Callithrix jacchus: one gene and its partners. The protein of the gene in region 4 interacts with the protein of the main gene of each other region in a pairwise test. Links are inferred from orthologs where the notes say so. Each region holds a gene or a part of one and is shown on either strand. Other genes may lie near its edges.

Region 1 (3,500 bases), on a different chromosome or scaffold from region 4:
CATATCCTACAAACAGAAATAAATACACCACATAATTATTTACTTTGGTTGAGCTAAAAATTATAAAAATTTCTAGTTAGTTAAAAAAATCATTAAAATATAATAATCAATGAACTTACATCATAACCAGCAATAAGCAGCCCAACACCATAAGGTCTCCGGCCATATCGTTGTGTTGGTATCTGGGTCTCTTAGACTAGTTAAGAGCTTGTTTTAACAAGGAATGAACTATTCTTTACTTTCTTTTTTTTTGGTGGGGACGGGGTGGAGTTTCACTTTTGTTGCCCAGGCTGGCACGATCTTTGCTCACTGCAACCTCCACCTCCTGGGTTCAAGCAATTCTCCTGCCTCAGCCTATTGAGTAGCTGGGATTAAAGGCATGTGCCACCATGCCTTTTTGGTATTTTTAGTAGCGAGGGGATTTCTCTATGTTGGTCAGGCTGGTCTCGAGTTCCTGACCTCAGGTGATCTGTCTGCCTCAGCCTCCTAAAGTGCTGGGATTACAGGCTTGAGCCACTGTGCCCGGCCTATACTATCTTTATTTTCAAAGTATACATTATTAACAAAGGTTTCTGGCTTCTTCCTTAATTGTTGCATAATCCACCAGAGAAAGAATAAAATAGGATTCTCTATCTTTGGCCTAATATAAAATGTTTGCCTTTCTACCAAATCTAAGAGTGCCAGCAAAATAATTCTTCCCAGGTAAAACTTGGGATTTCTTGGGACATCTAGAACCATTGAGAAACTTTAAATCCCCTCTAAAAAGATGCTTGGATAATTTCCCTGAAGTTGGGTTTATTTATGTCTAGCAAATATAAATTGCTTATACAGGCTAATGAAAGAGCTACCCAAATTGTTTTAAAGTTTTCACAATCTTACCTATGTCATGTTATTATCATATTCCTATGATAATTAACACAAATATCAAAACGCTTCAAAGTTCATATCCATAAATATTAACATAAAAAGGATACTGCTTCCAATTAGAGATACAAGACGTGACACAGGAAGTGGTCTATCAAATACAAATCTGGAATCCAAACACTCCTGACGCATAAAATTACTGAAAGAAACAAAAAAAGTTTAGTAATCTCAAATTACAAACAACGATTCCAATCTAAATTGTTTGATTTCACTTTGCATTCTTCCAAGCGTTTACATGGATCACAACCATATAATGAAGACAGAAGGTAAGAAAGACATGCCTGCGGGGGCACATTTTTGTGTCAAACTCTGGAGCCACATAAAGTTTTTTGTTGTTGTTGTTTGTTTTTGAGATGGGGTTTCACCATGTTGGCCAGGACGGTCTCGATCTCCTGACCTTGTGATCTACCCACCTCTAACTCCTAAAGGGCTGGGATTACAGGCATAAGCCACCACGCCTGGCAAGGTTTTTAAAAAACACTGAAATATTTTTTAGCTCTAGGAAATATTTGTCTTAAAGCACTTACAGAACAGAGAAGAGAAGGTTGAACAAGAGAAAAAGAGTAATCCCTCTTCTCTTATCCTTACCACTGTCAACAAGTTTGTCTTAATTCTAGGTCTTAAACCAGCATAGAGTATCTACTCTGTCCTTTTTTCTTGAAAGCAGACTAACATTTCCCCAATAGAGCAACTGTAAAAAATAGAAATCACAGCAGAGGGCATCTTTACATGTACCTGCCACTGTTACTTATATTCATAAGAAGCACTCTAGAGGAGATACTGGACACTAGCCGCTGAGTCTCACCATTAAATCTGATGAAATTCAAGCAAGGTTACCATTGGGGAAAAGAGAATTCATGCCTATAAAGATCAACAAGAAATGAATATGCCCCTTTCTTTCAATGTTGCTTTGTCCAGCATATGTGTACATCACATCTGATCATCACATGTTGACTACAGGAACCAAGCTATTTGTTCAGTATTTATATTTAAGTCCATTTCCCAACACTGTCTAAAAGTATACTGCCCAATATGGCAGGCAATAATTGCATGTGGCTGTGGAGCCCTTGAAAAGTAGCTATACTGAATTGAGATGTACTCCAAGTACAAAATAGCATGTCAAGTTTCAAAGACTTAGTACCTAAGAACGTGCAATAGCTCATGAATGAAGTTTTCATGTTGATTATGTGTTGGCATGGCAATACTTTATAAACTGGGTTAAATAAAGTGTTTGATAATATAATACATTTTCCACTTTGAGGAGTAGGTGGAAACCCTTTAGGGTGTCATTATATTGCTAACTTAGAGCAAGGGACTGGTTGAGTAACTTTAAATTCTTAAACAATGGCATCACTATTTACACTGCTTTTGCTGCTGCTGTTGTTTTAGACTAAAGTCTCACTCTATCGCCTAGGCTTAAGTACAGTAGCACTATCATAGCTCACTGCAACCTCAAAGTTATGGACTCACCCAATCCTCTCACCTTAGCCTTTTGAATAGCTAAGAGCAACAGGTACGCGGCCCCACAACCAGCTAAGTTTTAAAATTTTTTGTAGAGATGGAGATTCGCTACATTACCCTGGTCTCAAGTTCCTGGCCCTAAGCTTCTCAAAGAGCTGGGATTACAGGTATGAGCCACTGTGCCAGGCCCACCCTTATAATTTATATTATTTCTTTCCTAATCAAATTCACAAATTTAAGAGATTGGTTTTGGCTAACTACCTGCCACCCACAACACACTCACATAATACCTGAAAAGCACTGTGTTAATGCTTTACAGTAGGCTATTTAAAATAATTAAAAATAGGCTGGGTGCAGTGGCTCACCCCTATAATCTCAGCACTTTGGGAAGCCAAGGTGGGTGGATCACCTGAGGTCAGGAGTTCAAGACTAGCCCAGCCAACATGGTAAAATCATGTCTCAACTAAAAAATACAAAAATTAGCCAGGCGTGGTGGCAGGCGCCTGTAATCCCAGTTACTTGGGAGGCTAGGCAGAAGAATCACTTGAACCTGGGAGGCAGAGGTTGCAGTGAGCCAAGACTGTGCCACTGCACTCCAGTGTGGGCAACAGAGTAAGACTCTGTCACAAAAAAAATAAATAAATAAAAAAGTATTTTAAAATAGCTTTGATAAAGAAAACACTGGAAAAAAATTCAGTGTTTAGGTATTTAGCCCAATCTGATACTAAGTGGTGAAAGCGAGAACTCAATCTGTCTGATTTCAAAGCCCTACCTCTTCATTTACGGATTGCCTTTCAACCATAATCTGTCTCCTCAGACTCTCACAGAAATTTATCTGTTATAAACTAGATTTGAATTTATAGATAAACTTGCCTTTAAGTTCCTTTAGACAAGATCCATTTCTGAGTCACTTATGCATACCCTGCAATATCCAGTATTGAGCATTGCAAAAAAAAAAAAAAAATGTCTACTAAATACTGATGTATTAAAAAAAACAAGTACGGTTCAGCTTGTCCTTAGAAACCAGATAAAAGTATCAAGCTCTTCTTAGACATAATATGGTATCAAACAATATACACTGCATTAACAAATATATTACTGAGTGACTTGTAAAA
Region 2 (3,740 bases), on a different chromosome or scaffold from region 4:
GCTTTGGGAGGCTGAGGCAGGAGGGTCTCTTGAGCCCGGAAGTTCAAGGCTGCAGTGAGCTGTGACTGGGCCACTGCACTGCAGCCCGCGTGGCAGAGCGAGACCCAGTCTCTCATACACAAAATGGCTGTAATGGCAAGGTTTATGTTGCCGAATTTACACAATGAACAAAACCAGTGACAGTCTGCTGGGGAAGGACCTGAACCCCCGTGTGGACCCAAGTTGAAGGATGAACTGAGCAGCTGTTGACTGTCCCGAGCCCCAAGCCCCCCACGTGTGCTGAGCCCACACAGGTAGAATGCAGGATGGAGATGCCTGCCCTGCCGCTGGCTGGCTCTGTGAACCCCAGCAAGTTTGGGTCCCAGCCTCCCTCAGAAACTCTGAAGCGCTGCTGGAGGTAAGAGAGCAGGCCTGGCACCCCCAGCAGCGATGTCATGGGGGCCACAGCCACACCTCCTGAGCCCTCCACACCACCCCAAACAACTTACACACTCACCAGCTGAAAACACGAATTCTGTTTCTATTTATTTAAAAAGTCCGGATCCAGCACTGGGAAGGGGCCGCACCCAGGAGGGTCCCCTGGCCGGAGGACGGCAGGATGGGCAAGATCACCACCCCCATCTGGGGGCAGGCATTTGGGGACCCATCCCAGGTAAGTCCCCACAAGGCAGCTGCCTGTGTGACCCAGGGAACACACCTGGGTAATCTGGGGGTCCTGCCATGTGCTGGGGGTGGTTGTCTGTCCTGGTCCCGGGGATAATGGGGAGAGCCGCGCGGTGCATGGCTGTCCTCCGAGGAGGGGTACCCGCGGCTGTGCGGTCGCAGTGTTTCTTGTGGGATCAGAGGGCTGGGGTGATTGAAAGCTAAAGGGATGCTGCAGAAATTTAATTTTAGGGGGGCTGGAGCCCCCAAGGTGCAGGATGGGACCAGGCCCCAAAGGGTGAACCCTCAGCTTCTCGTCTGTGGGGCAGATTGGGGCAGGGCCGCGCCCACAGCTTCTCCTCTGCATCGTGGGCCCGCCCACTCCTCACAGGTGCTCACTGAAACCAGAGACAGGAGGGCCCGGGATGAGGACCGTATCATCTCTGGCCCCCACCAGACCCAGAGGAACCCCAAAGGCCATGCATCAGCTACTCCGACAGATGCCAGGGTTGGGGGGCAGGTGTGGATCGAACCTAATCCAGGCACTGGGATCCGCCCTGAGAAGCTTTGGGGAACTTCTGGCGCCCCCCAACTGAGTGAGCCCGGCCCCGCCCCCGCCCCCCGCCCCACCGGGCACACACCTGGCGACCTGGGCCAGGATTTCCTTGATGCGGATGATGAGCTTCTCGTGCTGTGCGGGGTCGCGCTCGATGGCACCGTGCAGCCGGGCCATGTAGAAGTCCAGGGTGCCTAGCGTGGGCGTCTCGCCAGTGCCTGGGGGACACATAAGGTGAGTCAGGCGAGGGTTCCGGGGAGTCGCAGGGCGGGGACTCCAGGGCAAGGGGCAGAGGTGGGGGGTGTACTGTCAGGGCGGGTCTCGAGGAGGGCGCGGGGACGCGAGTCGGTGGAGTCCCCCGTGCGCTCAGAGGTCGCGACCCTGGCTAGCGCGGGCGGGGCGCACGGTGGGTCAGGGTCAGCCGAGGCAGGCGGCTGGCGAGGGCGGGGCGGGGGAGGCGTGGGTGACGGGGGCGCGGGGAGGTGGGGTCAGTGCCCAAGGCCAGTCGGGGGCTGGCGAGGGAGAGAAGCCAGCGAGGTTGGGGCCGGCAGGGAGCGGTGCCTGGAGCGTCCGAGGTGGGGGCACGAAGGGGCTGTGGGAGGAAGAGGGGTCAGTGGGGACCAGGCGGGAGAGATCGTGGCCGGGAAGTGCGGTCCGTGGGGGCGAGGCCAGGGACGGAGGCGAGCAATGGGGCGCGGAGTGGAGCAATGGGGTAGAGATGCGGGGTTCTGGAGGGGGCGGAGCTCGGGGGTGTGTGGTGAAGGCGGGACGATAGGCAGGGCCGGGTGACTGGGGAACCGGACGGGAGTGGGGTCCGGGTGACGGGAAGGGGGGGAAATGGACGGGGCGACAGGCGGGGCTGGGTGACGGGATGGGGAGATGGGCGGGGCCGGGTGCCTGGGGCAGTGGGAGATGGGCGGGGCAGGGTGACGGGCAGGGGGAGATGAGCGGAGCAGGGGGGAGATGGGCGGGACCGGGCGACTGGGGCAGGGAGATGGGCGGGGCTGGGTGCCTGGGGCAGGGGGAGATGGGCGGGACCGGGCGACTGGGGCAGTGGGAGATGGGCGGGGCAGGGTGACGGGCAGGGGGAGATGAGCGGAGCAGGGGGGAGATGGGCGGGACCGGGCGACTGGGGCAGGGAGATGGGCGGGGCTGGGTGCCTGGGGCAGGGGGAGATGGGCGGGACCGGGCGACTGGGGCAGGGAGATGGGCGGGGCCGGGTGACGGGCAGGGGGAGATGGGCGGGGCCAGGTGACGGGCAGGTGGGAGATGGGCGGGGCCGGGCGACTGGGGCAGGGGGGAGATGGGCGGGGCCGGGCGACTGGGGCGGGGGGGAGATGGGCGGGGCCGGGCGACCGGGGCGGGGCCATGGGCGGGGTCCGCACCCGGCACGGGCAGCGAGGCGAAGCTGGCGGTGAGCGCCTGGCGCACCGCCTGGAGCTGCTGCTGCAACGCCAGCGTCCGCCGCTCCTCCAGCGCCAGCTCCTGCTCCAGACGCTCGCGCGCGCTGCTCATGCTCTGCGTGTGCCTCTGCAGCACCGCGTTCTGCTCCTCGAAGGCCACGTTCATCTTCCGCAAGCGCCGCAGCTCTGCCTCGCGGGCTGGGCCGGGGTGAGCGGGGTCAGAGTCTGCGCCTCCCCACTCCCCTCATCGCCCGGCTTTAGCCCGGGACGAGTCCCTGCCGGGGTTTCCATCACTGCACCCTCTGCCTCCTGCTCTATATCAGTTCCTGGGGCGACAGCGGGTGCCTGGGCGCTCAGAGGAAACCTCCCGATCCGCCCCCTCCCACCTTGGGGGCCCTCCTGGCCCACGCTCCCCTCCACCACCCACTTCCACGGAGTTTGCATCAGGACCGCAGTTGACAGTTACCTTTGTTTTGGTCCAAGAACTCTTCAGTGAAGATGGGAACATCGAAGGTGGAGAAGCCGTCGCAGTCCCCACCCTGAAGAAGGGACAAGGTGGAAATTTGCTGGTGGTAGGGGGCAGCCACGTTCTTTCTGGGTGTGCCCCAAACCTAGGAGGGTCTCCTGGGGCACCCTGAGTGCGAGTACAATCAAGAGCGTCCCCGCAGTGCGGTGGCACCACCCCTGCTTGCATACATCTGGGCGAGGGGCCATGGCTTCCTCCTCGAAGCGCCGGTTTTAGAAATCTCCAGACCTTTCTACCTCAGGTGATTTGCTAGGAGGAGAGTCGCTTACCTTGTGTCCATTCAGGAGGGTGTTCATGAGCCCCGAGCCCGAGTCTTCTGGTAGAGGAGGGGAAGAGAAGGGTCAGCCTCCCAGGTCTCCAGGGACCACGCCCTGCACCCAAGGTCAGCCCTGCTCATCGGCTGCAGCTCCGCACCTTCGTCCCCCCGAGTCTGGGCATCCCCTACTGTACTGAGTGAGCTCCCTTCACTTCTGTCTGGCTATGTATTCCTCCCCTGCCCACCCCATGGGACTGTGCCTCATGTAGCAGAGGCCTTACCTGGGCTGCGGTCGCACCCCACAGAGCAGGACCCCAACTGCTCCCGCTGGCCCCTCCCACCATTTTTCTTTCTTTT
Region 3 (3,500 bases), on a different chromosome or scaffold from region 4:
CCCTCACCAGGGGATGCTCACCTTGGCTGAGCTGAGTGAGCCGCATGCCCAGGCAGACTCCCTGGGCGGTGATCACTGGCCCCGTAGACAGTGGCAGTGGCTGGGGTGGTGGGAGCACTGGGAGGCCAAGGCGGGCCCGGACGTCCCCGAGCTGCTCCTCCAGCTCGTGCAGCCTCCGCAGTGCGTCTGCCTGGACCTGGCGCCGGCGCCGGCGCTGCTCGGTGCTCAAATCAGGGGCCAGGGCCAGGCGGCGGGCAGCTGCTGCAATCTGCTGCTGCACCGACACCTCACGCTCCAGGGCCTCAAGAGCCAGCTCCTGTCGGGCCCATCCAAATGTTGGAAATGGCCAGGCACAGGGACCTGGTGGAGCCAAACCCACTAGAGGCTGTCCTGCACTTCCAGTGGCCTATTCAGGCCTATTCACCTGCAGGTGGAACTTATTTACCCCAGGGAGGGGAGGGGGCAGGGCAGGGCAGGGCAGGGCAGGGCCTCTCTTGGTGAAGGACTGGGACTGTTTATCTTCCTGAGCATGGGAGGCCTGTCCTGACAGTTAGGGACCAGCATCCTCCCTCATTGCAGGAACCTACCTCCAGAAGCCCTTTTCCTTCTCACCTTAGCCTCTCCCTCACCTGGCCACAAGCCCCCTCCCCATACCTTCCTCCTGGCTACTCCTCTGTACCTGTCCCCTCTCCCCACCCTCTTGCTCTCCACACCCATCTGCTCACCTCAGCAGGGCACAAGGAGTGGTGTGCTGGGTTGGGGTGTGGTGGAGGGTAGGCGCGGGCTGTGGGGGGCCGCCGGCGGACCAACTGGGGCCGTTCACCAGGCTCCAACGGGCACTCAGGGGGCAGCTGGCCAGTCAGCTCCTGGTGGAGGGCAGAAGTCAGAGACTACCAAGGGTTAGTTGGAAGGATGCGGTAACACATTAATGATCCCAGAAGCTACAGAAGTCCTACCAGGAGCCTGGCCCTGCTCAGCACCCACACACGATACTTCCCTTCCTCCTCCCATTATGTCCAACAGGCAGGCGTGCCCAAATCTCAATGGCCCAAACCCCTGTGGTGGTGGGCATGAGAGGCAGGGAGACCTGCTTTGGGATCCAAAATTGTTTCATTTTTATAAAAGCGATACCATCGAGATCCTAAGTATTATATAACTCCCTTCGGGGGCTGGGGCTGCGTGGTCTGAGCTATAGTATTATTTCTGGCACACTGTGGGCATTCACAGTAAGAGGGGGAAACTGAAACTACACATCACCCTGTGCCAGTTCAGGTCTGACTGTGCTGCCAAATTTTGAACAGAACCTGTTTTCTAAGGTTTGTTGGATTTGAAATTGTCGACAGGGGATTGTGTGCCTGTATTACCGTATTTCATTCATTCTAACACAGCTAAGCTGAGCTTTGAGAAAGTGGGTGACAGAGAAAAGTGGGTGACACAGACAGGACAAGTGGTTGAACAACTGCCACCCAAGTCTGTCTATCTAGGGGACCCAGCTCCTCACCTCCCCCACCACCTCCCCGCCTGACACCCCTAGGGCCAGGCCCTTACCGCCTCCTGGAGACACACTTTGCGGAGCTCCTGAAGTTTCAGGCTCAGGGCCTCCTGTAGGGTCCGCTGCCGGTCAAGCAACCCCCGCAGACGCTCTGACTTCACCTGGGGGGCAGCCTCTCCGAACAGGGCAGCTGGACACAGAGGGAGCAAAGATCAGTGGGACAGCCAGGGCATCCTGGAGCAGCTGTGGGGCCAGGGACCAACTCTTCCCAAGCAAGCAGGTGGTGATTTAGAGCAGGGGAGGAGGCAACAGGAGGGGAAGCAGCCACCGACCTGGGGCATTGAAGGTAGGAGAGCTGATCAGCTGACCTTTGACTTCCATCTTGGTGCTGTTGAGAGGCCGTGGCTGATGGCTGGACAAAGTCTGGCAGTGACACACAGGAGCCGTTAAGGAAGCACGTCCCATGATACCCCAACCCCCAGCCCTTCCCAACTTCCCATGCCACAGCAGGGAATAAGGGGTAACCTGGGCCCCACGTGCCTGCTTGACCTGCCCTTTCAGAATCCGTGTGGATGTCTGGACCCACTTGGCCCTGGTACCTTGGTTCCCTTCGCATTGAGTGGGAGCACAGCAAGTGGGGAGCTGGGCGGACTTACAACGCCTCCTCAGAGGCCCATGGGTCACAGCCAGGAGTCTTGCCTGGGGAGGGAGAATTAATGGGACAGATTCAACCAACCATAAGAACAACAGCCACGCAGTCAGCACCTGGTTGCCTGCAACAGTTACCTACAATGCCACAGTGAATCTTCACAGCCACCTGGGAAGATTCATACTCCCATTTTACAGATGAGGAGAGGAAGGCACAGAGGTGAAATAACTGGCCCATAGCCACATACATAACCCAGGTCCACCCCCTGGACCTACACTCTTGCTCACGAGAACCGCTTCAACTCCACCAACTTCCTCATAAGTTCCCTGGTCCCTCAGGCCTCAGGGTCTTTGCCCAGGCTGTGGCTGCTGCCTGAAATGCTTTCTTCAATCTGTCACCACCCCAGCCCCTTCGTGTCACTTATCATTCTAAAGCTTAAATATCACTTCCACAGGGGGCCCCTGTGTTATATTCTCTCACAAATGGTTGTCCAACAAGAGATTATGCCTCCTGGAACATCCGCAATGATAGAAAACATTATCTGTCCCATTTTCATCAGCATTGCCAGCATCCTGAACACGGCTGTACACGCAAGTGCTCAATGAATGGGTGCCAGGTGAATGAATAAAAGACGGAGTAAATGAATGAGGAGGCAGTGGAGCCAGGGTTCAAGCCCAGATCTGTGGGTCTGTGCTTGTCCCAACTCCATTCTGTAGCTCTAGTGCAGCAAGGAGAGTGTTCACTAGGTTCACTTGACCCAGGGTCCCTCCAGCCCCTCTTCCCATGCCAGCCTGTCCTGAGCCTAGCTAGGGAAGTCCCCCTGCTGGAATTTGTAAGAAGTAAAGTCCACAGCTGAAAATAACAAACCACCTGCCTCCTGCCTCCTGCCTCCTTCTCTGCCCTCAATGCCTCTGCTGACCATGGAGCCTGACTTGGCTGGCCACCAGCCCTGCCCTTGTCCCCTCCTTTGGAGTTTGCTCCCTCCCTTCCACATCCTGCTCAGTCCCCAGCTGGGGAGCTGAGTGACATCACCTCCCACCACCTGGCCTAACCTCAATGGCAGGTGACTGGGAGGGTTTTATGGGGCCACAGAGTTCCCATCATCACCTACCTTGAACTTGGCAGCTTGTCATGACACTGTTAGCCTGGTGTGAGGAAGACCCAGCCAACCAAGGAGGCATGGGTTCAAGCCCCTTCCCCATCTGTATATCGTAGGGTGAGGCCAAGCTGTCTATAAGGTGTCAGTTTTCTCTGGAGTCCTCCTACCTGCCCCATAGGGCCTGTACCCCTCTCTTGAAGCAGTGGTGCCCTGCCTTCAATAGCAGGGGTGGGAATCAGTCCCTAAAGCCTTTTGACAAA
Region 4 (3,926 bases):
GTTCTAGTAAGCCCATAAATCTAATAAACACAGAGTTCCTTTTTCCTACGTATTTTAACTCTCACCTTACTTTTCCTTTTTACCATCCTGTCTTTTTGGAATACAGGCAGACAGCATTCCTCTATATTTCTTTTGTTTTAGTAGCAATGATCTCTTCAGTAAAAATTACAAATGCCATTCAAAATATTTCCCCTGAAATAGACGGCTAGAACAAATCAAAGTCGAGCTGCAACTCTAATACTTAATACAGGGCATTGCCTGACACAGAATGGGCTCTTAAAGGTTGCTAAGTGAGCGGACCCCAGTGAGAACGAAGGCACCCAGGGCTGAAGAGAGGGAGCTGAGAACAGCGGACACACACTGAGTGTTTCACACCGCACAATCCCGGTGGCCTGACCCTGATCTGAGCCCTGGTGGTAAAAAGCCTTAAACGTGACAAGACTCAGAACCTAAAGCCAAGGCAAGATCTGGCGGTTAAGCTGGGACGGCAGCATCCTTCTTGCCCATCAAAGGAGTGAGCTTTATTGAAACTTCCTGCCACAATGAAGAAAACACAGACACAAGGAAGCGCGCCCTTCCCGCGCCCGGCACTGGCCCCGCACAGGGGCAAGGGAAAGACCCCCAGGTATCCACTCCGTCAGGGCCAGGCAGGTCGGCGTGGCGGGGCGGCAGGACTCTGCGGGACCGTGCGAGCGTCTCCGCGGACCCCACAGGCCTCGCCTCAGCCCCGGGCCCAATCCCGGCCCCACGGCGGGCCAGGTCCCAAGAGCCTGCCGGCGTCGCGACCTCTGCTCGATCATTACCTGTGGCGCAGAGCCGCAGGGCGGCCCGACACCTCCAGGCTGCCATGCTAGCCTGGGAGAGCTGCAGAAGCTGACTCTGTGCAATAGAGAGAAAAGATACCGGTGTCCGCTGCCTTCCCGCCAGGAAAGGGAAGCGGAGCTGACCCAGAGCGGAAGAGAAGCTCCGCTCAGAATACGGGGGCGGGGCAGGCCGGCCTCCGTTAAGCTCCCAGGACCCCGCCGGTCTCCGTCTCTGAGTATGCGCGGAGTGCGGCGCATGCGCCGGGAGGGCAGCGTCTGCGCTGTCGTGTGCTTCAGCATCCTTTGCGCCCTCGGCCCCTCCTGAGGAGCGTGGGAACCCAGCGTGCGGGCTTTATTCGGGAAAGCGGTGGTTGTTCACGGGGGCACGTTTCCGGAAAGGTGAATACTGGAGAAAGTTAGGTTGCAGGCGAGGTAGACTCCCACGACGCACTTACGGGATGAATATTGGCACATCATTTGCTTGCTGCTCCCGTGCAGTGAGTGCACCTGTGCGTTTTAATGCTGGATCAAATTTGTGGAAAGAGGCGCGCCTGAAGACTGGATTGCTGAGCTGCGCGCCACTCTGTGTTTTTCCAAAGCGTTTTTGAAATCGTCTTTCAACCTGTTTGCATAAAGGGACATCTCTTAAATGCAGCAAGCTTTAATGCACTTTTGCCAAAGTAAGGATTGCCTCTTTAAAAACTTTCTCTTGAAACTTGAGAACATAAAGTTAGGCTTAGGATTTTTTATGACTTTTCTGATTACTTTGGAATTAAATAAAATAGTATGAAATATTCATATTGCTACCTGTTTTTTTTTTTCTACAGGACAATGATTTGTAAAACCCATATTTCTTTTATATGAGGTTACTGCAGCAGTCGCTACTTCTGAATTAGATGAAATTTTTATGGGACGTAAGGTACCAGAGGATTTAGATCAAATTTTGAAAACCTATGAGAACAACAGAAAGGGTAAGTTATGATGTCAGCCGGTTCACCTTAGGTTCAAAATTCCAACAGGCGGAAATGTTCTAAAACATTGTTATTCCTAGTGACTAGAAGATTAAATTACACTCTAATTGAGAGCAAGCCTTAAATGTCACCCCTTTTGGGCATACAGCATGGTATCCAGTGCAAGCCCTCTGCAGATTCAATTTTTCTTCCTTTCTTTTTTTTTTTTTTTTTTTTTAAAGAAAAAGACTAAAACATAAGGGGACTGTTGAAGCGACGGGAATGTTCTCTCAATGGTGGTGAAACAGCTTTATAATAGTACCATGGACTTGATACTCTTCTACAGAAGCTTTTCTACTCTCTTGGCAGTATCTCTGAAAGACCCATATTCAGTTTGTTTTTCCATTCTAATGTATTTCAAAGTTCTCTGTCTTCCACAGCATGCAAAATAAAATAATTTCTTTGCATATTTGCATTACAGTTTAAGTTAGCATGTGGAGAACAACAAAAACCAGTTAACCTAGATCTGTGCTCTTCAATAGTGTAGCCACTAACCACCTGTGGCTATTGAGCTTTTGAAACATGCCGTGTCATGAAGTAACTGAATATTTAATTTTAATTTTAGGAAATAAAAAAACTGACACTCGATTCAGTTATTGGAAAGTTTTTTTAATATGATTGGAACAACTGAGATATTTGAATCTACTTTTTCAACTGTAAATTTTATGAAATCTAAAAACTGATCATTTCCCAGGTGTGGGTGGCTCTTAACTGTTTGCCAGCACTTTGGGAGGCTGAGGCAGGAGGATTGGTTGAGGTCAGGGATCCGAAACCAGCTTGGGCAACACAGTGAGACCCCGTCTGTACAAAAAGTTTAAAAATTAGCCAGGTGTGGTGGCACACACCTGTGGTCCCAACTACTCCAGAGGCTGAGGTGGGAGGATCAATTGGGCCAGGGAGGTTGAGGTTGCAGTGAGCTGTGATTGTGCCACTGCATTCCAGCCTGGCAACAGAGCTAGACCATGTTTCTATAAAATAAATACCAATTAACGTATTTCTGATGAAATTAGGGAGGTTGTAAGGAGGTATAGTATAAATGTAAAATATACACTGGATTTGGAAGGCAGTATAAAACTGTTAAATGTCTCAGTATTTTTGTATTGATTATATGTTGTAATGCCTATAGCTTAGCTATATCTTAGATATATTGAGTTAATAAAATAAATTATTAGAATTAATTTCACCTGTTTTTATATTTCACTGTGTTTCCAAGAAAATTTATAATGACATATGTGCTTTGCATGATATTTTCATTGCAGGCAATGTGAAAATGTTCAAAATTATGCATTAATGTGAAAATGATTTAATAAACCAATAGACTTTTTAGGCCTTTTGTTCAGAGAACATGCTAAATTTCCATATGCTAAAACATATTCAGTGTTCAAAAATTTAAGTGTTTTTTTCCTGCTTATCTACCTCAAGTGGTGATCACTTTTTTTGTTATTTAAAAGGTTCTACTATTTTGACAAGATCTTTAAAAAGACTTTCAGATAAGCTACACTTGTACAGATACATGCCTTATATATTTTGCCTACATATGGCTGTAGTCTAAATGTGTATCGCAAATTGCATATGTTGAAACTTCATTGCCAATATGATAATATTAAGAGATTGGGCCATTTGTGCATGATTTAATCATGAGGTGGAACGCTCATGAATGTGATTAGAGACCTAATAAAAGAGACCAAAGGGATTATCTTAGTCCCTTTTCCCCTTCAACCTTAAGCCATATGAAGACACAAGAAGAAGGTACCATCCTTGGAAGCAGAGAGCAAACCCTTATCAGACATCAAACCTGCTGACTCCTTGATGTGCAGCCTCCAGAACTTTAAGAAATAAATGTTTATTATTTATAACTTATCAAGTCTGTGCTATTTTGTTACAGAGCATCAACAGGCTAAGTAAGACACATGTGCTTTCCAAAAGTCATATACACAGGTGTCTTGTTTATGGTAGGACTGTTTGCAATTGTGAAAAGCTAAACAATTCAAATCTGTAAAAGTAGAATAGATAAATTGTGTTGTTATCCTGTAGTAAAGTACTATATAGTAATGAGAATGAATGAACTTTTGTATGGAGAACTGTGTGGTTGCAAATCATAAACTAAATGTTG

The links.
Region 1: the proteins of CCDC102B (region 4) and PSMA1 interact in binary tests that used the Homo sapiens proteins (3 or more experiments, as listed by UniProt). The two-hybrid records come from large-scale screens. The link is inferred for Callithrix jacchus from reciprocal best matches to the Homo sapiens genes CCDC102B and PSMA1.
Region 2: the proteins of CCDC102B (region 4) and HMG20B interact in binary tests that used the Homo sapiens proteins (3 or more experiments, as listed by UniProt). The two-hybrid records come from large-scale screens. The link is inferred for Callithrix jacchus from reciprocal best matches to the Homo sapiens genes CCDC102B and HMG20B.
Region 3: the proteins of CCDC102B (region 4) and CCDC120 interact in binary tests that used the Homo sapiens proteins (3 or more experiments, as listed by UniProt). The link is inferred for Callithrix jacchus from reciprocal best matches to the Homo sapiens genes CCDC102B and CCDC120.

The regions. Positions count from the first base shown.
Region 1 is NC_133511.1:80,384,758-80,388,257, forward strand, and holds part of PSMA1 (proteasome subunit alpha type-1), read right to left. Parts: intron 1,064-3,500; coding exon 975-1,063; intron 191-974; coding exon 120-190; intron 7-119; coding exon 1-6. UniProt on the Homo sapiens protein: Component of the 20S core proteasome complex involved in the proteolytic degradation of most intracellular proteins. This complex plays numerous essential roles within the cell by associating with different regulatory particles.
Region 2 is NC_133523.1:3,341,155-3,344,894, reverse strand, and holds the end of HMG20B (SWI/SNF-related matrix-associated actin-dependent regulator of chromatin subfamily E member 1-related), read right to left. Parts: intron 3,444-3,740; coding exon 3,397-3,443; intron 3,141-3,396; coding exon 3,068-3,140; intron 2,800-3,067; coding exon 2,584-2,799; intron 1,417-2,583; coding exon 1,284-1,416; intron 1,041-1,283; coding exon 1,028-1,040; 3' UTR 501-1,027; downstream 1-500. UniProt on the Homo sapiens protein: Required for correct progression through G2 phase of the cell cycle and entry into mitosis. Required for RCOR1/CoREST mediated repression of neuronal specific gene promoters.
Region 3 is NC_133524.1:49,609,954-49,613,453, reverse strand, and holds part of CCDC120 (coiled-coil domain-containing protein 120), read right to left. Parts: intron 2,192-3,500; coding exon 2,033-2,191; intron 1,916-2,032; coding exon 1,825-1,915; intron 1,683-1,824; coding exon 1,549-1,682; intron 867-1,548; coding exon 726-866; intron 317-725; coding exon 22-316; intron 1-21. UniProt on the Homo sapiens protein: Centriolar protein required for centriole subdistal appendage assembly and microtubule anchoring in interphase cells. Together with CCDC68, cooperate with subdistal appendage components ODF2, NIN and CEP170 for hierarchical subdistal appendage assembly.
Region 4 is NC_133514.1:111,380,029-111,383,954, forward strand, and holds the start of CCDC102B (coiled-coil domain-containing protein 102B), read left to right. Parts: upstream 1-1,126; 5' UTR 1,127-1,202; exon of another isoform or gene 1,203-1,483; intron 1,484-1,630; 5' UTR 1,631-1,756; coding exon 1,757-1,774; intron 1,775-3,926. UniProt on the Homo sapiens protein: During interphase, forms fibers at the proximal ends of centrioles to maintain centrosome cohesion. During mitosis, dissociates from the centrosome following phosphorylation to allow centrosome separation. Contributes to CROCC/rootletin filament formation.